Linked DNA regions of Cricetulus griseus. The protein of the gene in region 2 purifies or fractionates together with the protein of the main gene of each other region. This does not show direct contact. Links are inferred from orthologs where the notes say so. Each region holds a gene or a part of one and is shown on either strand. Other genes may lie near its edges. The genes, in order: Ifi30 and Dapk1.

Region 1 (11,732 bases), on a different chromosome or scaffold from region 2:
CCGAGTTCGGGGATTAAAAACATACACTGGAGACCCATTAAAGTTTTGATAGAACTTACCTCATATCCCACCACAGCAGACCTGGGCAGCATCTGGCTTGGGTCACTCTTGCAGTCATTGTCTTTTTCAAACCTCACATTGTGCTCTCCACAAGGGCATGGAATTGCTTATTCTCTTTCTCTTTTTTTGGGGGGGGGGAAGGCGGGGGGGGGGGTAGGGAGTTGAGACAGGGTTTTTCTGTGTAGCCCTGGCTGTCCTGGAACTTTGACCTCGTACTCAGGGATCCACCTGCCTCTGTTGGGATTAAAGGCCTGCGCCGCCACCACCCAGCAATTTGTTCTTTTCTTCCTTCATCCTTCCTTTCTTTTTTTTTTCCTTTTTAGATTCTTGTTTTCTTAACAGTCCTGTGACTCCCCACTTCTGGCACAGGCTGTGGCACAGGACATTTGGGCAGTACCCAGTTTGTATTTGTTAAATGAATGAGTGATTTTGCTGTGACCCATCTGGGCACAAAGGCCACCCAGCCCCCTTTTCCTGATCCACTGTCTCTGGACCTCAAAGGGGCTGCCTGACCAACCTCCAAACACACTTCCCTTCAGAACGGCTGCTGTGCAGTCTCTCCTGACCACCATCTCTTCTTTCCCCAGGACACAGCAGGGCAAGAGCGCTACCGCACCATCACCACCGCCTATTACCGGGGTGCCATGGGCTTCATCTTAATGTATGACATCACCAACGAGGAGTCCTTCAACGCTGTGCAGGACTGGTGAGCCTCACACCCACTCAGAACGGTGGGACTGGAGGCAGCTGGAGCAGTGGCTCAGCTACCTGCCTGGCTTGGGTAGCCTCGAGTTCTGTCCCCAGCATGTCCAGAAGACAAAGAACAGAGTTGGTTGGGACAAACTACATGGGCTGTTTCTAAGGCTTGGGGTTGTGGAAGGAACACAGCTTGACCAATAAGCTAGACAAAGGCTCCCACTGATCTGTTGCATTTAAATGATCTGTCCTCCCAGGAAATGGGAGGTCAGGTCTGTAGTCCCAGCTACTTGGGAAGCAGAGGCACTTGTCCCTGACTGAGCAGTTGCCTAGCATGTGTGAGAACCTAGATTCCACCCACAGCATCATAAACCAGCTCTGTCACGTCTCTGCATTTAGCATAGTAGATAGAGCATCAGATGTCATCCCAGCATTGGGGAAGCTGAGGCAGGGTAGAGAGGTCCAGGACAACCTGAGCTCATGAGGAAAGCACATCAGTTACTAAGGGGCAGGGGACTTAGTGTCAGGGCTGGATCCTCCAACTTCCTCCTCAGCCTCTGGCTGCCTCCTGCAGGTCGACTCAGATTAAAACTTACTCGTGGGACAATGCCCAGGTGCTGCTGGTGGGGAACAAGTGTGACATGGAGGACGAGCGAGTGGTGTCGTCGGAGCGTGGCCGGCAGCTTGCTGACCACCTGGGTGAGTGTCCGCAGGACTGCAGCCCTCCTCAGACGGGACCAGGGGCCATGACCTTCAATACCCAGAAACCCCACACATCAGGGCACGAGCGTGAATGCAGAGGGTTCATACTTGTAAAGACCAGACACTCTCCAGGAAGCTTCAGCAGTGGGTCTTGGTCACAGAGTTTGCTAGCTCAGTCATGGACTGGCTTCCAGAAGCTGCTGGGCCTGACAACAATCTAAGTTTTCAGACTGGAAAGAGAAACCTGCGTAGAGGAGTGCATGCTGGGAGCCCAGCCATGCTTCCTGGAGCAGGCAAAACTTGCTGGGGTGGGAAGGGTGGTACAAAGTTCTCAAGGTACAGACCAAGGGACAGCCAAACCTATGCAGTTGTGACCGTGGAGTGTGACTGCCCCCTAGAGGAAATGTGTCTCACTGTGTTCTGAGATACCAAGAGATAGGGCCATGGATGTTGAAGCCAAGACAGGTCTGAGTGTGGAGGCTTCTGGACTGGGACTGTATGGGGCCTGGTTGGGTGTTCATGGGAGACTCACCCTCATATGGCCTCCCTGGGATCCCTCCATTCCCCAACACAGGGTTTGAGTTTTTTGAGGCCAGCGCCAAGGACAACATTAATGTCAAGCAGACCTTTGAACGCCTGGTGGATGTGATCTGTGAGAAGATGTCGGAGTCGCTGGATACCGCTGACCCTGCGGTCACAGGCGCCAAGCAGGGCCCACAGCTCACCGACCAACAGGCACCTCCTCACCAGGATTGTGCCTGCTGAGCCACACCCCCACCAGGGGCAAGCCCCCATCCCATCACCCTATTTATTATTGTAGCTATTTATTTATTTATTTATTTATTTATTTATTGAGGACTTCCCTGGACACACCCCATCCCACCCTGTACATAACCCTACCCCTGCTCAGCTGTGGTGTGTTGTGCTCACTGCTTAAGACCTCTCCCTTTTAGTTTTGAAAACCACCCCATCCAGCTGTCGTTGTAAAGAGGGGACCAGATATCACTTGGAAGCAGGCTGGCAGGCTGATGGGAGGTGGCAAGTCCTGCCAGGGCCAAGGCTGGTGGATTGTCATGTGGGCCACTGGGTTGATACAGGCTGGCATCTTGCTTGCCTGGACCTTCTACCCCATGGGATGGGGGATATAGTCACTTTCACTACTTTGGGATATCCCCAAACCTGTTTTGACGTCATGAGTGTCAAACGTGACCCCCCACTTCCTAGAAGTTATGAACACTACACAGTTCAATAAAGCGAATGGACCTTGCTGCGTCTCTGCTGGCCCCGCCCCTACACCGTCAGCCAGCCTTGTGATTAAAGAAAATTTAATGAAATTTCCACATGGCTGCCCAACTTCGAATGAAGTTTTTTGAAGCCAAACCAGACCCCATTCAAAGGCCACGGGGCATGTCCTTGCCTCTGTCACCTGGGATCCAGGGGACCTCGGGTACTGTTTGGCCCAGAGTTGAAACTGCAGATTGACAGAGGACTTCTTGGTCCGACTGAAAAACCTGGCGACAGCTGGTGCTGGGGCTGTTTCACATGGGCAAACTGTCTCCATGGCAGACTCCGAAGGGATAGCTGGTCCAGACTTAGTCAGCCTGGGTTTTGGATGTGGCTCAGAGCTCTGACCTGTTCCAGAACCTCCTATGGGAGTGTGTCCATTGGCCTACTCCTCCGCAGCATTCAAGTTCAGTCCACGCAGCCCGGAGTTGGAAGGGGTTCAGGGGCCTGTGTACAGCAGAGGACAGGTCACACCAGACACAGGGCCAGCCCGCACCATGGAGCCCCTCTCTCCCAGGGGTTGAGCTCACCCAGTACTTCAGGTAGGACAGATACGTGTCCCAGCCCAGTGTCAGCCCGTTGATATAAGTGACTCGGAAATGGGAAGGGATGAAGAGGAAGTTCACCAGCTGAGCGGCTGGCCAAACGCACCAGTCAGCCTGCAGGAAGGCAGGCAGGGCCACCTTAAGAGGGCAGGTGGTTATGAGGGGGCAGGGCTAGGAGGGTGGGTGGGGCCAAAGTGTTGAAGGGGGGTCTGGGAGGTTGAGTAGGGGTGGAGCCACGTTTAGAAGGCCAGCCTGGTCACGCCCACCTTGTAGAAGTCCCAGAATTTGGCCCGCAGCTCCTGGCAGCTCTCCTCCAGCGTCTGGCCTTCCAGGCTGCCAAGGCCTGGGAAGAAGAACATAAAGGCTGAGGTGGTTGCGAGGCAATAAAATTGGCAGGGCTGTGTGTGGGGAGTGGGCTGTATGGGTCAGTAAAGTGACCCAGGAGGAGCACCAGGGAGGGTCAGGGGCAATGACCGGAGTTACTTGAGCAGGTCATCCCAGGACACCAGGGATCATCATCTCATCCATCAATGCAGTCCTCACCGCACCCTCAGGGTTCATTTTCCTGCAGGCTCAACTGACTGCAGCTTTGCACCCTTGCCACTCTGCCTCTCCCCAGCCCTCTTGCTTCCCCGAGTCTATATATAAAAATGCAATATGGTTGTGAACTTAGCCTCGAGAAGCCGAGGCGGGGTTGTCGAGTCTGAGGCCAGCCAGAGCTACAAAGTGAGACCATCCCTGTGTAACAGGTCCCTCTAATTGTCAACGCCACCCAGCCTACAATCGCAGATGAGAATCTCCAGTGTCTACCCATCGCGAGCTCTGAAGGCCACAGTCCCCACCGCTTCCTACCCAGGAAGTACCAGACGCCCAGGATGGGCGAGGCCACCATCTGATCCACCAGAACCTTCTTGATCACGCTCGGAAGGCTTCGGAGGCCCGAGGCAGGGAGGAGGCGGTCCAACCACAGGTACCAGAAGTGCAGGAAGGGGCCCATGCTGCAGCCCACCGCAAACATGCAGGCTGCGGGCGAGAATCAGGGTGCACCCTGCTGGCTGCGGGCCAGGACCCCTGGGGACTCGGCGTGTCCTCCCGGTGGCCGGCGGGTCGCCACGCCCGGTCCTCCCGGCCCCGCTCACCTGAGCGCCGCGCGCTGAAGCTCTGTCCCGGTCGCGCGCGCACCTCCCAGGCCTGACGCGCGCCGTCGCCCGCAGCCATGAGCGTGCCGCAGCCCAGGGTGTTGGTGACGAGCAGCGCGCGGCCCCGGAACAGCGGTCGCCCCGCAGCCAGCGCCTTCCGAGCCCAGCGCCAGCCGCCCGAAGCCATCGCCGCCCGCGCGCACGCCCGAGCCTCCGCCGCTCTCGCCCCGGCCCCGCCCCCCGCGCCCGCCAATCACTCGCCTCGGCGCCGACCACTAATATGCTGCGCTGCAGAACCGCCCCTCTCCACACGCACCAATCAGAAACCCCCAAATCCCGCCTCTCGGAGGCAACAGCCAATCGCCTACCACTCCATCACGGAAACGCGGAAGTCCGCCTAGGCTTTACCAGTTCTCAGCGGACCGATAGACAAGCGGACCTGCACTGGCCAATGGCAGAGCGGGGTCTCGCTAGCTACCCGCAGCGTCCCGCCCCCTGAGCCGAATTGACCAATCGTGGGTCTTGTGTGTCCCGCTGCGCAGGGGCGGGGCCGGACGGAAGTCTCTCGCTTCTTATCCACAAAGCCTCCGGGAGTGGGCGGGGCGAGGGGGTGTGCGCAGGGCTGCGGAGCTCGCCCTTGGCGTGACCTCTCCCGTGCGCCCGCACTGTGGTCTGAAGACGCCGGTGCAGCACGCGGGCGCCGGGCGTCACGTAGCCCGGGACGGCCCTGAGCTCGTGTCCCACCGCCGTGCCGGGGCTGTGGACTGATGAGCAGTCATGAGTTCCTGTGTCCTTACCGCCTTCATTGCCCCTCCGCTTGTCACTGTGACCACCACCGTGCAGTTTTCGGGTGCTCAGCCTGGGCTTCTAGCTCCCGGACGCTGGCCCCTTCCCCTGCTCCATCCTCCCAGCCTCACCCCCTACCCACCGGGTCCATCCGGGCTCCGTGGAAGGAAGGACAGGTTTGGCTCTGCGTTCCCGGGTAGGGGATTGCCAGCATCCAAGGACCGTGTCACTTCAATTCCGCCACCCACACAGGATCTACAGTCACGGTCTAGAGCAGCGGTTCTCTGCCTTCCGACCCTGTAATACAGTCCTTCCTGTTGAGGTGACTCCCAACCATAAACTTATTTCATTGATACTTCTTAACTGATTTTACTACTGTTATGATAGTAATGTGTCTCTCATATTTGAGTCTAAGGGGTCATGACCCAGTGTGAGAACCACTGGGCTGTAACTGGTAATTAATGTGGGTGGCATGACCCCCTGCGCTGGTGTTCTGGAAGAACTAGAAAGGAAAGTGGGCAGAGCCCCAGCATCCACAGACCTGTTTCCTGACTGTGGGTGCTGCCTGGCCCCAACTTTGCCCCAGGATGGACTACACAGGATGACCCAGCACAGTCCCTTCCTTAAGTGGCTTTTGTATTTTGTCACATGACAAATGAAAAAGTAACTCGCATTTGGGGGCTTTTCAGATGAGGCATGAACTCCAGGGTCCCCGGGGCACAGCTCAGGGACAGACTGTGTGCTGAGCACCAGTGGAGTCCAGGGTTATACACCCACATTCAAAACATAAACATGCCGGTAGGTGGTGGCACGCCTTTGATCCCAATGCCTGGAAAGCAAGGACAGGCAGATTTCTGTGAGTTCGAGGCCAGCCTGGTCTGCTGATTGAGTTCCAGCTTGAAAAACCAGCAAAACAAACGAAAAATACAAAGTGGTGGCGGCGGCGGCGGCTGCACACACCTTTAATCCCAGCACTCGGGAGGCAGAGGCAGGAGGACCTCTGTGAGTTCGAGACCAGCCTGGTTTACAGAGCGAGTGCCAGGACAACTAGAGCTGTTACACAAATAAACCCTGTTTCAACAAACAAAAAACCCACAACCCAAACCAAAAACCAACCAGCCAAACAAACGAAACCTCACAAACTAAAACTCCAGGAAAAATGAATCACAGCAACTTATTTATTCAAACAATTTAAATTTAGCACCATTTGAAAGCAAGGCAAGATTCTTGAACACGTAGAGGAGTATTTTTTTTGTTTTTGTTTTCAAAACAGGGTTTCTCTGTGTAGCTTTGGAGGATGTCCTGGAACTCGCTCTTATACACCAGGCTGGTCTGGAACTCACAGAGATGCGCCTGCCTCTGCCTCCCAAGTGCTGGGATTAAAGGTATGAGCCACCACCGACCGGCATGTGGAGGAGTTTCGAGTATGTTTTGTGGGATGTGTACAAGTTTGCTTGTTGATGGGCGGTATCTCTTTAGGGCTCCGGATTTGAAAAGGCTGAGCACCTGGGCTCTTGTTTTTCTTGTGACAGTGACCTTCACTTATAGCAAACCTTCCTGGGGGGGTCTGCCATGGAGGAACAGATGTCTGGTTTCTCCACTCCCTGGAGGGGGTGAAAGGCTTGGAAGTTGGTACCCTTCTGGGAGACTCCACTCCCCCCAACCTCCAACCCCCGTTGGTGCCCAGCTCACCTGGTACAGCTGACAGACAGTGCTCAGGAGCTGGCTGGGGTCCTTCAGAGGTTTCTGCAAGCCACAAAAGACATAGTTAAACACAGGTGGGAAGACCCATGAGCTTGGGAGTACAGTACTGGAGTGCTGAGGCAGGAGGACCACTGATAGTTCCAGGGCAATCTCAGCTGATTTGTCACTGCAGTGTTAGGGCATAAAAACTTGTGTGAGCAGAGGCCAGAGCTCAATGTTCAATATGGGTGTCGTTTTTTAATTTTTTTGTCTTATTTTTTCTTTTTTGGTTTTTGTAGTCTTTTTTTTTCTAATTAAATTATCTTAAGCTGGGTGGTGGCGCACGCCTTTAACTCGGGAGGCAGAGGCAGGTGGATCTCTGTGAACTGGAGGCCAGTCTCATCTAGAGATAGTTCCAGGACAGCTAGGGCTGTTACACAGAGAAAACAACAACAAAACTATTGTTTTTAGGGTTATTTGTCTTATTTCATGTGTAGAGGTGTTTTGCCCCCACGTCTGGGCACCATGTTTGTGCAGTACCAACGGAGGCCAGAAGAGGGCGCTGGATCTCCCTGGGACTGGAGGTACAGATATGAGCCACTGTGTGGTGCCTATGGTAATAAACCAGGGTCCTCTGCAAGAGCAGCGGCACTCTGAACCCCTGAGCTGGCTCTCCAAGCCCCTCATGTGGCGTCTTCCAGTCACGATTACATGCACAGGCCACCACAGTCAACTTTTTCACACCGGCATGGGGATTCGAACTCAGAGCCTTGAGCTCGTAGGACACTTTACTAACTGCACAATGGAGGTCCTTACCTCATTGACCAGGACCCAGGGCACATACTCATGGGGCGGCTGCAGGGCCTCGGTGAGCTGGGCGTTGGCGTGCATGAGCTGCGTGCCACGCTCCCCCGTGGCACACTCCATGATGCTGTCTGGGGACACCTCTGGAGCATATACCTGCAGGCACTGGGGGGGAGGGGGATGTGCGGCTTTGTTCAGTTCCCCTTGTTATCTCGCCAACAGTCCGAAGGGCCCTGGACAAGCCATTTCCTCATCGCCCAGAGCGGGTTGATGGGTGGGGCTTCTGATGCTGAGGCCCAGGGTGCGCGTGCCTCGCTGGTATCTCATTACCTCGGAGCCTTCCTACTCCTTCCCAGGGTCTCACCCTCCAGGAGGATGGGGTGGAGTTATTTCCCACAATACCCTGGGAAGTAAGAGCCCCTGGCTTGTCTCCTGTCATACTGTCTGTCCCATGTCTGCTCACAGTCCTAAGGTTTCCAAGCGAGAGGTGGGAGCCCCAGGAGGGCAGTCACCTCCCTGCCTCCCCCCAGCCCCGTGGCTGGCCTCCCAGCCCTGCAGCTCACCGGCCCTAGTTTCTTCTCCATGTCCTGCATCTCTTCCACACAGACGATGGTCAGCAAGGCCGCCTCCTTTTCCAGCTTATCCAGCAGACAGGCCTTGCAGAGAGAGACGGCAGCGGTGGGCACACTGCAGTACTCAGTGTCCGGACCCCCCTCCCCGCTCCCTCCACCGCACTGAGCTGCAGCTCACCTCCACCTTGTTCAGCCTGCACTCCAGCTCCCCATGCTGACACGTGAACTCCCAGGTGCCACTGACATTTCTTTCCTGCAAGGCGCCGAAGGATGAGCGTCCCTGTCCCCGTCCCCCCACGCCCCTTCTGCCTCGGTTTCCCCGTTTCCTGCGCACCTGCGCGTTCCCGTAGGGTACCAGCGTGACGTTGATAATTTCCATAACCATCAACCAGGTCGGGAACAGATCTCGGACCAGGAAGTATCGACAAGCTCCGCAAAGGGATTCATAATAGAGGCTGACATTGACCGGCGGTGCAGGGGGCAACGGGCGCGGCCCGAGCAGGCACAGATCGTGGGCCTGGAGGGAGAGAGGCGTCCGGTGAGGTGCAGACCCCGGGCCCCGGCGCCCCCCGCCGAGACGCTCATGGTGGCTCAGTCTAGGGCCAGTGGGGACCAGACAGCGTGCGGTCTCCCGCTGGGCCACGCCCAGGGCCCCCAGAGGCTTGCTGGAGTCTACCTCGCATTCCGCAATCACAGTTTATCTGCAAAACGGAAACTGGCTGGCTTGCAAACAGTAGGTCCTCAGCAAGTGCACAATCCTGGCTAGTTCAGTAAGCGCTAAAACATGCATATTTCTAGCTGTACACGGTGGCTCATGACTCACAGCACCAGGGAGGCAGACGCAGGAGTTTGAGGCCAGCCTGGTTTTACAGAATGAGTTCCAGGACAGCCAGGGCTACACTGTGAAACCCTGGCTCGCCAAAAAACAAAATCAAAACAACCACAAAATAAGAATAAGAAAGTAAATGAAAAATAAGACATGCATAATTGTAGTTACTGTTCTCAGCCCTGTTTGGCAACGCACACCCTGAAGTCAAATGCATGCTCATTTTTTTTTTCTTTTTGTAATTTTGCGCACCAGAGCTGAAACGAGGCCTTTCACCCATGGAAACTACTCTTCCTCTCCAGTGACCCAGGGAAACTTCACCCTGTTCGAGGCCCGACTAGACACAGGAGGTGCCTAGTGCGTGCAGACTTCCGGTTCCGGGGAGGTCGGGAGGCGAGCCGGAGTTTGATCAAGGTGCTCGGCGTGCGGGGCATGTGTTTGCTCCGTGTCAGGAGCACGCCAGCCCTCCCGTCCTCGGCTGGAACGCACATAGTAAGCAGCAAGAATTGCGTGAGGGTGGAGACGGGCCAGTGGCTCAACAGGTCTGGAGCAGAAACCGCCCCCTCCCGCCTACCCTCAACTCTTGGCTCAGATGTATACTGTAGGTGGTTAATAAATGCTCAGGCGAGGTGGAAGGGGATAGCTGTGTGTCTCAGACCTGCGATGGGGAAGCGAAAAGGCTTGGCCGCGGCCAGTCCCCAGATGGGGGTTGGGGAATGTCCCTGGCTGACAGCGTTCCTTGGGGTTCCCCGGGTGAGTTTGCCGAGTGCGGAGAAGTCGCCTGACCCTCCGTCCCCTCCCGCACGTCGCGGTCCCTACCTTGCAGGTGGCCGCAGCCTCGGAGGACGCTTGCAGCGGAGACACTCTGGCTGCTCTGGGGGCCTCGGGTAGAAGCAGCAGCAGAAGGGGCAGCAATGGCAGGAACAGAGACCGGGGCATGGCCGCGGAGGAAAAGGTAGGCACGACTGCTGGCTGGGCCTTGGAGGTGGGAGACTTTAAGCAGGCGGAGGCCCCGCCCCCTGAGACCACGCCCCTCCCGGGCTCCTACCCCAGGGCCTCCTTTCCAGCAGGCTCTACCCCAGCCAGGTGTTGCACCCCAAATCACGAGGCCACAGGGCCCTCCCTCCAGTGTTCCCTCCTCCTGGGGCCAGCATGTCCTGTCACACCACATGAGGCTTTTGGATCAGGGATGGGGCGGGGGGGGGGGGGCGGGGGTCTCCAGACACGGACCGGCTGAGGGACAGGAGGCAGAGTACTTGCCTTCTTCCCTCTACCTTAGCAGAGATGGGGGAGTGACACCCTTGTCATTAATTCCTGCCCCGCCACCCCAGGCCGGGCCAAATCAGCCCCAGCACATCCCCCCACCTCCGCTGATTCAGGCTGGACCCAGGACAGAAGCCAGCTCAGGCAGGCCAACTTCCCTAAGGTCCCGGGCCCTGACTTGGGGTGGGGGATGCAGCTGGGGGGACTTCCTTCAGGCAAGACCCCTGGCACTGCAGAGCCTCGCGGGGAGGGTGGGCGGGCTATGCCTGGACTCTGCCTCTTTCCACCAGATTCTGTAAATGGGCCACCAGAAGGGCTCACAGGTAACCTAGGTTGGGACCGGAGCCTCTGCACCAAGTCAAGATGAAATCTGGACGCCAGAGACCTTGGGGCAGTGACAGGCCACAGAACAGCAGCGGCAGCAGGAAATGTTCCAGCCTGGCTGGTAACTGAAGCCCCAGGCTGAAGCCGGAGACTCAGGACAGGGTCCGGTCCAGTTCTGGGGAGACCCTGGTTTTCTGTGAGGAAGGAGGCAGCAGACTGCTGAGGTAATGGCGACTCCCTGAATTCCACAGCTGATGAGCAGCCACAGGCTCTAACCAAGACTGGGCCTTCTTGAACCTCAGTGTGAGCAGGGGCAGCCCCTCACCGGGGCTCTCTAGAGAAGGGCTCTGCAGAAGCGCGTGGGGGGGGGGGGAATCTCTGGGACTGTGAGGCAAACACCCATATGGGACTGGGTCCCAGGCGGGCTGTCCGTTCACTTGTCCTCGCTGAGACCAAAGGTGCTTCTGGACAATCGGACACAGGCTGGGGCAGAGTACTCCGGAGCGTTAAGTCTTGATGTGTACCCACCCCAGGGCAGAGCTATTAGGGCTTTGTTTTCGCTAATGAGCACAGGCAGGCCCTTAGGGACTTGCTCAACAGGTGTGCAGGCTCGACATGGCCTCACCTCATCACTCAGGGAGACCGGGGACATGAGACACCCTCTTGGATGGCCTGAAAGGTTGTTGACACCTCTCTTCCCGACAGGGAAGTGGATCGTGTGGGCGTGCTTAGGCGCAGCGGGCACCTGCTTGAGCAGAGTCAAACTTGTGGGTGACCCAGCAGTCTGGAGCAGTGGCACTCGGATCTGGGGTCCCGAGTATGGGGCAGAGACTGACTTACAGCACTGTGCTCTGTGATCCTGGATGAGGTCTTAACCTCTCTGGTGCTGAGGGAGAAAAGGACGCGTGGTAATGAAAATGATAGGTGCCTATAGTGTGACCCCAGGCAGGCCACAGTCTGTGGCTCACGAGGGCCAAGAATCCCAGTCCCCGGGCTGGAGAGACGGCTCAGAACTAAGAGCACTGACTGCTCTTCCAGAGGTCCTGAG
Region 2 (10,748 bases):
CTATGCCATAGTAGTAGGTTTAAAAACAGCAAGAAAGAAAAGCATGCAGTCTGTATTGAAATCACATAAAAAACATATATATATATAAAAAAAAAACTGCTGAGGGGGGAAAAGAGCAGCAACTTTTCTTTGCATGAGATGCCCTGACAGCCACAGGGCCCACCCCTGCCCACCTAAGGCAGGGCCAGCTCTGGCTCACTCTCTGCCTCTGGTGCAGTGACAGGCACACAGCTGCAGCTGCACTGACTGGCTCTCATCCTTCTTCTGCCGAGGGCGTATTGATCACAAAAATCATGAAATTTGGAGAAGAGGCCTCAGGGCTTCAGGGCTGCTCCTTTCATGGGAGGCAGGGATGTTGCTGGTTGACACTGGCTGTGACAAAACCTGAGGTGCGCTCAGTAGATGTCCTGGGGCTCTTGCTGGGGCCAGAGCCTCAGAACCAGCTCCCCTGCGGCTCTCTTCAGGATCAGAGAATTCTTTTCCTACATATACGAGCTCAAATACAACCACAAACACATGTACATATAGACATACACATACACCCTCATTCCCACACACATGTAGAACTTAGCATGCACAGGTGGTGGTTACATGCATAGGCATATGACTTACAGGCATGTCTTTGCACATACAAACTTATAAATGGACACACTTAACATGCATGTACATGTTTATACTTGTGACATTTTACATGCTAATGTATGTGCAAGTACCATATTTAAAGGAACAACATGAAAATAAAATAGACTTTAGGGATGGACTGGGTGCAGGTGAGACCAGCTGGGGAGGGAGATAGGGCTAAACTAGGGAATTCAGGGAGAGACAGCTGGGATTAAGGGGTATCAGAGGGATGATATGGAAACCTAGTGCTTTGGAAATTTCCTAAAATATTTTAAGATTATCCTAATGAGGTCTCCTAATAATTGGGAAAACAGGTTCCAACTGGCCATCTCTTGTCACTAAACAAGTACCAGAATTTGGTTGCATTCAATTGTGTTGTTGGCCAGGGGGATCCCATGGAAATCCTCCAAACCCAAGCTGTTGCCAAGACAATGGGTTGCTCTCTATAAACTGAGAGTGGGCCCCATAGCTGAGGACAACATTCACACAATTCATCGAACATGGAGAAGTTGAGCTGGTACCTGCATGGGACCTTCATCCCTATGTTGTGTCTTTGGTGAGGGAAGGTGCTCTGAAGGCTACCAAAGGAGAAACAGAAATACCAATTCAGTCACATAACCTTTGACCCACATTTTTTCCTGCTTACAAAATATTCTAGGGCAATGGTGGCACAGAACTTGTGGGAGTAGCCAGTCAATGTCTGATTTGACTTAAGGGTCCACTCCATGAGATGAAAGATAACTGACACTGTTTGGGTAGCCAAGAGCCAGACTAGATAGTCCAGAGATCTAGGGTGAACACAAACACTATTATACTGTGCTATACCTATACTATAAACATAACAACATATATATATATATATATATATATATATATATATTATGCCTTATTCAGTCATCACCAGAGAAGCTTCCTCTGGCAGCCATCAGGAAATAATGCAGAGATCCACAGCCAGACATTATGTGGAGAAAAAGTCTAAATGGCATGTATTCACCAAATCCCTCCCCTCTGAGTTCAAGGAACTCCATATGGAAGAGGAGGCAGAAAGAGTGTAAGGGCCAGAGGGGATGGAGAACACCAGGAGAACAAGGCTCTCTGCATCAACCAAGCAAGGAACATATGAGTTCACAGAGACTGAAGCCAACACGGGCCAACACGGGTCTGTACCAGGTAGCTTTTAGCTTAGTATCTTTTGGGACACTAGGGCGTAAGAACTAGTGGGTCTCTGACTCTGTGTCTGCTCTTGGGACTCTTTTCCTTCTGTTGGATTGCCTTGTCCACTTCAGTAGGATGGATTTTGCTTTATCCTATTATATTTTATTTTGTCACGTTTGGTTGTTATCTCTTAGAAGTCTGTTCTCTTATAATGAGAGTGGAATTGGAGGGGAGGGGAGGAGGAATTGGGGGGGACAGAGGGAGGGGAAACTATAATCAGGATATATTAAATAAGAGTCTATTTTCAATAAAAGGAAAACATGAAAAAAAAAATGAAGAATCAATAGGAGGCATAGCCATGTAAGGTAGGATGACCTGACCTAAGCCAAATCCAAGACTGACTCAAGTGTGCCACTTGACTTCCAGACCCTGAAGAGTGTGTCAGAAATACTTCATCTCTAAGTTGACTTTACTTGTAAATTCTGTGGTTTCGATGGAACAAGATGGTCTCTCCCAAAAAAAAGATAGCTCCAGGGTTCCCACCCTGTACTCCTTCTGAGAAGGCTGTGGTTTGCCACTGAAACCCTAAGTGCCTGGCAGAGTCCCCTCACCCTGGTGTCAACACTTGAGAGTGACTAGCCTTTGGGCAGGGGAGGTCATGGCCCAAGCTGCACTGTAAGTGCTTATATGGCTTCTCTCCTGACCTCTCCACACCCACGCATGGCCTCACTCCCCACTGACTCAGAACTGGGGAACACAGGGACACCAGCAAGCAACCATTGGGGCAAATGGAGGGAAATGGCTAAGTCCTTTACTAGGGGTATTCCAGGAGTTTCCCAGGGACCCCTACTGCCTGTGAAGGTGTGGCGGTCAGTTTTATGCTACCATAACAAATACCTAACTTATACGGAGTAAAGGCTTATTCTGGGGATCCAGAAATTTGGGTTCATGATGGGTTGGCTCTAGTGCTTAGGACTTGTGCTAAGAAAGCAGATGATAACAGGCACATGTTGAGGGTACCTGTCTCTGACCCCCAATGCTGGGGTTAGCTTTTGATGAGGGTGCTAGGGATTCCCACGTGGGTCTTCATTCTTGTAGGGCAAGTTCTCTTACTCACTCAAATATCTCCCTAGCCCCTCCTCTGACTGTTTTGAGGAAGGATCTCATGTAGCTCAAGGGGCCTGGAACTCATGATGTATCCAAGGTGACCTTGAAGTTCTGATCCTCTTACCTGCACCCCTTAATTGGTTGGATTACAGGGGTGTACCCTAAACATGTGGTTAGGCACAGCCTAATGGCTCTGGTTTATCTTCCAATATTGCCACAATGGAGTCCCAAACCTTGAGGGACCTTTGGGGAACATGTCAGATGTCAACTACTGAAAAGGGTGACAATTACTCAATAACATCCTTTTCAGGGCATCTTTCAGGTTCTATCAGATTCACTGAAGACAAGGACCTACTTCTTGACTGGGGACCATGTCATCTAATTTTATAAATAAAGAAGCACCTAGACAAAGGGTAGTGCTTTCCCAGTGCTGGAGATTAGTGTAAAGATGATCTGGATTCTGGATTGGTTGATACTGTGGTGCAGAACACTGGGATTGGAACCTTTCACAAAGACGACAACTTCTGAATCAAGGACTAACCAATCAAAAGCAATACGGAACAGTTTATTTATAAAACGGAAGAAAAAAAAAACAAACTTAATTCTTTTGCAACATCTTATAGATTAAGTAAAAATACCAGTATTAATATATATGTATGTACATAGTGCATATATATATGTACAGATGATAGGGTAACATTACATGCTTCTCGGGACAGAATTAAAACACGTTCCCTCATATCGATTCAAAATGTTATCACAATCTCAATCACCCCAAGAAAACTTGTTTACTCTATTTTCTCTCTTTCAAGTACAGCAAGTGACCAAACCAGGATCTAAACGGAGAATCCATCCGCTATGCGCCGACAAGGGACTGCCACGGATTATGAGTTGGGGGGTCTTCGGGATTCTTAACGTGGGTCTCCATGACCCTACACTGTGTCAACCTTCTACCTGAGGTGGGAGGGAGTGATGAGGCATGACAGTCTGTAGGTTTCATGTACATGTTCACATGGATGTTTTGACAAAAGCAACTAAAGAAAAAATGTCTTCGTACAGCAACACTGGCCCATGAACACTCTGGGGGAGAGGGTTCCTTTTGCCTCTTTCCTTGCCAAATGAAACACAGAGCTCCCTCCCTGGAAGAAAAAAAAGAAAAAGGGGAAAAAAATACCAAAGGCAAACCAACCACTCAGAGTGCAGCACCTCTGGCGATGATCAGCACACAGCAAGGGACAGAGAGGTAGCGTTTCCGTGGTGACAGCTCCGGGCTGACTCAGATGATTTCAACACACCCTCTTCTGCAAAAGGCACTCACATATTGCCTGTTTATAAATCATACAGTGAGGTCCAAGCATGGGAGTCTCGCCTACAAATATAAAAGAGATAAGCTAAGGAGCTGGTATGGCAGAGAAAGGGTAAGAAATACACATTGTGGATAAATGTGTGTTCCTTTCCTTTTTTTTTTTTTTAAAGGATAATCAATAAGGGACTTTTTTAAAAAAAATGTTTTTTCATTGAAAAGTTTGGAATCCCAATAAAATTACCAGTAAGAAGCAAGGTATTAAGAGGACGAGAGATAGAGTCCAAAACACTGACAGAGGGGCACTAGCTTCCCAAGTGGCCAAAGCAAGGGATATGGTCTGCTCTTGACCATGGGATGGGAGAGAGGGAGCGAAATAAAGGCTGGGAAGCAATGAAGAGGATGCAGGGTGGTGTCTTCAGGAGCAGAAGGAATGAGTGGGGATCTGCACTGAAAAGGATGGGTTGTCCCCTCCCCACTGCCCTTGCATCTCAGTCCATAAAGACCCTGCCCAAGCCAAGGCTGCCCTCACCGGGATACCACTGAGCTAATGGAATTGTAGGATGTGCCACTGTTACAGCTTGAGGCGTAGGCCTCCTGGCCATTGCCATCAAGGTTGATCTTGAACACGGAGGAGGCCTTCAGTAAAAAGTCCGCAGCATCTCGGCGCCCCAGCTCCCGAAGTTTGGATATGAGGATGCCCACGGTACTCTCGGGGTAGGAGGTCCATTCCTGCAACAAGGCATGCACAGGGCTGGGGAGGACATCCCTAGGAGCCCTGGTGTTGGTGTTATGCTTGGCCACCATGTCTGGGAGGCCCAAGTTCATGGCCAGAAGGCACCAGTCCTTCCCCATGGGATCCGGTGGGTCAAGGAGGCGACTCAGTTTCCTCCGCGTCAGTAGACTCAGGTCTGACGCATGGATGTCCATGCCGAGACTGGCCTGTGAGTAGACGTCGTGACACCCAAAGCAAGTGATACTGCTGAAGCTCTCCTTGTACCCTCCCATGGTGTTGGTCAGGGAGCTCTCCTTCAGGGCCTGAGCACGGAAGAAGTCCCGGGGCTGGTAGACCATGACCGGTTCATGGTGCTCCCGCAGCTGCTGGGGGCTCAGGTAGTGCTTCACCGTCAACAGCCCAGGCAAGGTGGTAGCCATGACATTCTCGATGGTGCTGCACACCGAGTCCAGCAGCAGGCAGCACTTAATCTTCTCTGTCTCCAGCCCACGCACCTGAACCTCGATGCCCTGGCCATGGTTGACGAGTAGCACCAGCAACTCCGCCCCGCGGTTGGTGATGCGGCAGCCGCTCACCCACAGACGGATGTCTGCGTCACCCTCGGCGCTCTGCTGGTGGATCCACCGGCACAGGTTAACCTGGACTTTGTGAAAGATGCCGCAGGGGAAGGGAGTGAGGTGCTCCACCGGGACGATGCGCACCCCACCGTACACCATCAACTCATCCTCCTCGTCCGCCCAGGAGCGCTGCAGGCTATCCGTTTTGATCAGAGCCGGAACATCCACCATAGTCCCGCTACTCAGGTCCCGGGCGCAGATGTCCATGGCATCCAGTATCTGTAGCAGCTCCTCCACGTCACTGTCGGGGACCAGGCGTTGGATGTCTTCCATGGTGTAGCGGCCCCGGTAATGGTGCAGGGCGCGCGGCGTCTCCACAGACAGCAGCTTCCCCAGGACATTGGTGCAGAGCCATCGAGGGTCCAGCAGCAGTACATCCTGAACCGTCTCACTCTGCATGATGTTGATCTGCCAGAGACCACAACTCAACGTGACCAGAGGGAAAGGACACCCAGGCCAGAGGCGCTTATCACTCAGAGCTGTGTGGGGAATCCCCTCAGAGGCAAAGATCCATCTCCAAAACCAAACCCGAGCCCTGCCCTAAGCTGGCTGGAGAGTATCAGAGGAGAGTCTCTCAGAAGCAATTCCCGCGGAGGTAAAAATCAAAAGTACATAAAGACAGAGACAAAAGCAACAACAACCCACAGCAATACACAAGACAAGAAGGAAGACAAGAAAGAGAAAAGATGGGCTTCTGTGGAATCTGGGTCTAGAAAGACCCACTAATCAATAAAGGCAGCCATCAAAAGAGATTATCAGGGCAAATGGAAACTCAGCCACTGTCCTGAATCAGGGTTGTGTTTCTGGAATGTGATCTTGTGTTCTACTGAGTTTTGTGTGGGAACAACCTTGTCTTTGGGGACACTGATTTACGGTGAAATATGGTGATGTCTACAAAATAAATCTTAAAAAGGTGAAAGAAAGGAGGCAAAGGAACCATAATGGAAGGAACCTGTCAATGTCAGTTGAGAATATGTGGTTTTGTGGTAATGTCATTGGTTTGTCTGAGACAGGGCATACATATGTTTCTTATGTTTGTTCTTATGACAACCCTTCAACTGAAAGAGGAGTCAAGAATGACACTAGTTATTGACCAGTGTGTCTATTTCTTTAAAAGCCCAAAAGCTGGAGAGAAAAATGTGAGAAGAAAATAAAACCAAGCCAGAAATCACTTTTTCCTTTTGGGCCCTTTAAGGATAAGTCTATGAATAGCAGTTATTCCAGGTGGTTTTCATTGGAGAGGCCTCTAGCTCCACCTGCTGGCCATGGGACCCCTCTGCCCTAGTGTAGCTTGGGCTCTCTCTGCCTTCATCGTTTCAGCAGGACATTGAGAAGACCCCCAGACGGTTACCATTTCATACTATTATTTCCTTAGGGTTGAGAAAAGCAAAGCTTGACCATGGAGGAGGAAGCTAAGGCGCTAATGGCTCATAACCACTTAAGAAGACTACAGCTGCACAGAACCAGCCCACGTCCCTGAGTTTTCTTTTCCTTCCCCTCTTTCTCCCCGTCTTCATTTCCTAAAGTCTCAAGCTCAAAAGGAGAGGGGATGTGATATGAAAACTAAGGGGATCCTACATCATGACTTAGAAAGTTTCTGGTCAAATAGTAGGAGGTAAGAGAATCCTGTCAAAGGAGAAAGTTCCTTTTTATGGGAAAAAAAACGCCTTTTATATCTAAATATCTTTGCCTTTGCCCTGTTCCTGTCTTCTTCCTTGCATTCGGTCACTTTATAGTACGGCTAGTCAGCCAGCCAATCAGCCATCAGTTTACTGGGAGTTCAAAGGCTGACATTACCATTGAGGTCCTTCTGGGCCACTAGCTCTAGATTCAGTATTAGTTTCACAAGTACGCAACTCAGACAAATGCAAGTCTTGATGTGGCACAAAAACCAATAAACCCAGCTCTGTTTTCAATATTCTCAGATGCTTCTAATTGTCAATAATCACCACTGTTGCTCTTGGCCCAGCCTAGCCCATGTGGCCACTCAGTTTCATAGGAGGGAGGAGGTAAAGGCTATGCCATGCTCTGGGGACAGGCATACAGGATGCGGTTAGAACGGTTCCCATACTGGGTTAAGTGACACAATCAAGAGTGATTTCTGTCCTTTCTGGTGGGTGTTGCTTGCTAAGGGGGTCTTTAAGTGTGGTCCTGACTTGGGGACACTGCACACTAGAGTGTCTTCTTGTCCACAGACAGTGTCTGTGAGGACACCCCATGGGCTTTACTCAGTATTTGTCAACCCAGGACTATTTCCAGAGCCAGAGCTTCTCAATTCCTTCAGCGCAGCCAGCCTATGGCTGCCAGGAAGAACAGGGAAATAAGCCATGGGTGCCTCAGGGGGCAATGGAGACCCAGCTACTCGGGGTGAGAGTGACTAACTAATGGGGTCTACAAGACAACAAAAACCAAAGACAACAGACCAGCTGTTGATAGTGAATGGTTGCTTCCACCGGATATGACCTTTGCACACACCTGGCTTCTAATAATATAACCACTGTCCTGAGACTCTTCCCTGAAGTACTAGCTCACATATCACACGCCTAACAACACACCTAGCTGCCTGTTAACATCCTAGGACCCCAATCTCCATGAAGCTATGTGTGCGCGCACACACACACACACACACAACAATGGAATACCTTTCTCCTTTTAGCAACCATCAAACAGATTTTATTCAGTTTTAGTCATGTCAATGAATAATAGCAGGAGAGCTACATCCAGCCTGAACTGGTCTTGGTGCAGGTGCAATAAGGGAAATAAATATGCCCCATAAATAAACTTTCAGGAAAAAAAAAAAAACCCTTGTTTATCATGTTACGATAATGCATCATGGGAAAGGACATTCATGATGGGGGAAATACTTCTGTGTATGTTTATAAATAAAGTACTTGCTTGGCCAATGAGACAGCAGGTTAGGCTGGACTAGGAGTCAAAGAGGATTCTGGGAAATGTAGTAGAGAAGTGGTGTTGCAGACAGGAAGTGACATAGCAAAGAGACTCATATTTAAGAAGAGGAAAAAGGAAGTGTCGCTCTGTTTCCCCTCGGCTCCTGCTCCAGCGGCACGATGTGATTCACCGGCAAGGAGGGACGCCAATAAGGTGCCCGATAAGATAAGTCCCATAAAATATATAGATGTATGGTAATTGAGACTGAGCTAACAGATGAGAATCCTAATCATTGGCCAAGCAGCTTTGTAACTAATACAAGTCTCTCTGTGTATTCATTTGGGCCTAACTCGGGCGGGCAGCTGGTGTAAAGCTTGCACGTGGCGGTGGGGCTCAGGCGGCTTTTGGCAAAAAGATTTATCATAACACATTCACATCAAGCAAAAGCTTATATAGCCTAAACCTGTCAATTAAAATAGAGAACCTCTCAAACTTTGCCCCTCATAACCAAACTTACCCTCTTTTAGGCCTCATAAAGAAGTCCCAGGCTCTTGAACAGCCTCACCTATGTGACTTGCTGTCACTCTGGTTGGTGTCTTTCTTTCTGATCTGCACTTTTGCTTTGCTTTGCAAAAAGTATTCTTGCAGTTTGTGCAAACCAGGAGAAGCCTTCAGTTCAACTCATAAGAGGCTCAAAACCCAGAAACAACCAGGCCCAGACTCCAACCCCTGGTAACAGTAAGGTGAAGGAGAAGCAGAGAGCAGAAATTCTGTGTGACTTCGTGGGGCGAAGAGAGCCTCGTGTGATGAGATGTTATAGGTAGCAGGGTCACTTCTCCTCTACCAGCTGGAGCTCACCCACCCTCAGCTCTCACCTCGCCTGTGCTGTGCAGCTGCTGTGCAATGCGTCTGAGGTCATCCTCAGAGGCCAGGGGGTTCAGCTGGTCCTGAACATCATACACAAACTGCTGCAGCGACATCAGCTGGTTTGGCCCGTTGAGCTTCCGCCAGGAGGGCAGTGTCGAGATGATCTTTTCACACAGGTGAGTCATGGGAGGGCAGCCCTAGACAGGCAGGTGGGACAGGTTAGACCCTACAGGACTATGAAGTGCTAGGAGCCAAGAGAGACATCATTTATCCAAGCTGCACATACCCAGAGGAAGAGATCCGCACTTACCCGGCTCAGTAACAGGGTCCATTACTAACCTAGTGCGGCCTTTAGGCTTAATCTAATCAAACATGAGGGGTTTGACAGCAGCTGTATGTGTAAGAGATGGTAAGTCCTTACAATCATATTTTAGGAACTATGGACTCAGCCACTGTTCACCAGCACCTAAGGCTTCACTCAGATCTGCCTCTGCCTCCAGCTTCTAGCTCTACCCCCTTCCTCGCTCGCTAGTTAGGTAGCCGTCTACCTAACGTCAGAAACATAAGGTTATACACAGAGTGCAAACAGAAAAATGAGGATCTTACCAGCTTCAGAGTGGATTCACAGGGTCTGTTGATGGAATATCACTAGACCAATAGTTTTTTTCCTTCCTCCCTCCCTTTCTTGATAGGTGGGTGTGTATTTGTGTGTACACAATGCATGTGCACAAGTGTGTGCCTACACACAGAAGTCAAAGGTCCATGCCTACCATTGGGTGCCATTTTGTTATGGGCATTCTTGCCCCCAGCTGGTCCCAGAACCTCATCAGCCCCAGATGAACACACAAGACTTATATTAATTATAATACTGTTGGCCGTTGGCTTGGCCTTCTTATTGGCTAGCTCTATCTTAATTATTAACCCATTTCTATTAATCTAAGTATTTTCCATGTGGTCTTCGCTTACCAGAAAGTGGTTTGGGGACCTGTTACTACTCCTCTGGCATCCTACATCTTGACTGACTCTGTCTACATTTCCCAGAATCCTCCTTGTCTCCTAGACCCACCTATTATCCTGTGTCATTGGCCACAGTGCTTTATTCATCAACCAATAAGAGGGAGATATGTACAGAAGACAACCCCATCAGCTCTCCACCTTAGTTTTGACACAGGCTCCCTCACCACACCTGGGGCTCACTGCCTGACCAGCAAGCTTCTTAGACCCTCCTGTCTCTACCCTGCCCCACCACCCCACCCCCACCACTGGGGCTACACTGTGCCCCTACATGCTTAGCTTTTATGAGAGTGCTAGGGATCCAAACTCAGGCCTTCGTGTTGGTGCATGGAGCACTTACAGACTCAACTATCTCTTCGGTTAGGCTTCCTTGTTTGCTAGTGAATGTCTGTGGACACTGATCTCTTGGGACACCCTCTAAGCTGCTTTATCTGTTTTA

The links.
Region 1: the proteins of Dapk1 (region 2) and Ifi30 purify together in Homo sapiens (affinity purification with mass spectrometry; 3 studies listed by BioGRID and IntAct, counting the BioPlex papers as one, with this or other methods). This does not show direct contact. The link is inferred for Cricetulus griseus from reciprocal best matches to the Homo sapiens genes DAPK1 and IFI30.

Annotation. Positions count from the first base shown.
Region 1 is NW_023276806.1:248,241,888-248,253,619, reverse strand, and holds Ifi30 (gamma-interferon-inducible lysosomal thiol reductase), read right to left. Parts: upstream 10,269-11,732; coding exon 10,203-10,268; intron 10,142-10,202; coding exon 9,917-10,141; intron 8,789-9,916; coding exon 8,606-8,788; intron 8,525-8,605; coding exon 8,450-8,524; intron 8,356-8,449; coding exon 8,263-8,355; intron 7,865-8,262; coding exon 7,712-7,864; intron 6,959-7,711; coding exon 6,905-6,958; intron 6,817-6,904; coding exon 6,751-6,816; 3' UTR 6,362-6,750; downstream 1-6,361. Other genes in the region: Rab3a (ras-related protein Rab-3A), read left to right, coding at 648-766, 1,331-1,455, 2,033-2,223; Mpv17l2 (mpv17-like protein 2), read right to left, coding at 3,151-3,189, 3,273-3,401, 3,554-3,630, 4,140-4,310, 4,427-4,613. UniProt on the Homo sapiens protein: Lysosomal thiol reductase that can reduce protein disulfide bonds. May facilitate the complete unfolding of proteins destined for lysosomal degradation. Plays an important role in antigen processing.
Region 2 is NC_048596.1:279,915,587-279,926,334, reverse strand, and holds the end of Dapk1 (death-associated protein kinase 1), read right to left. Parts: intron 9,493-10,748; coding exon 9,304-9,492; exon of another isoform or gene 9,066-9,303; intron 8,642-9,065; exon of another isoform or gene 8,577-8,641; intron 5,948-8,576; coding exon 4,719-5,947; intron 4,253-4,718; coding exon 4,213-4,252; 3' UTR 3,532-4,212; downstream 1-3,531. UniProt on the Homo sapiens protein: Calcium/calmodulin-dependent serine/threonine kinase involved in multiple cellular signaling pathways that trigger cell survival, apoptosis, and autophagy.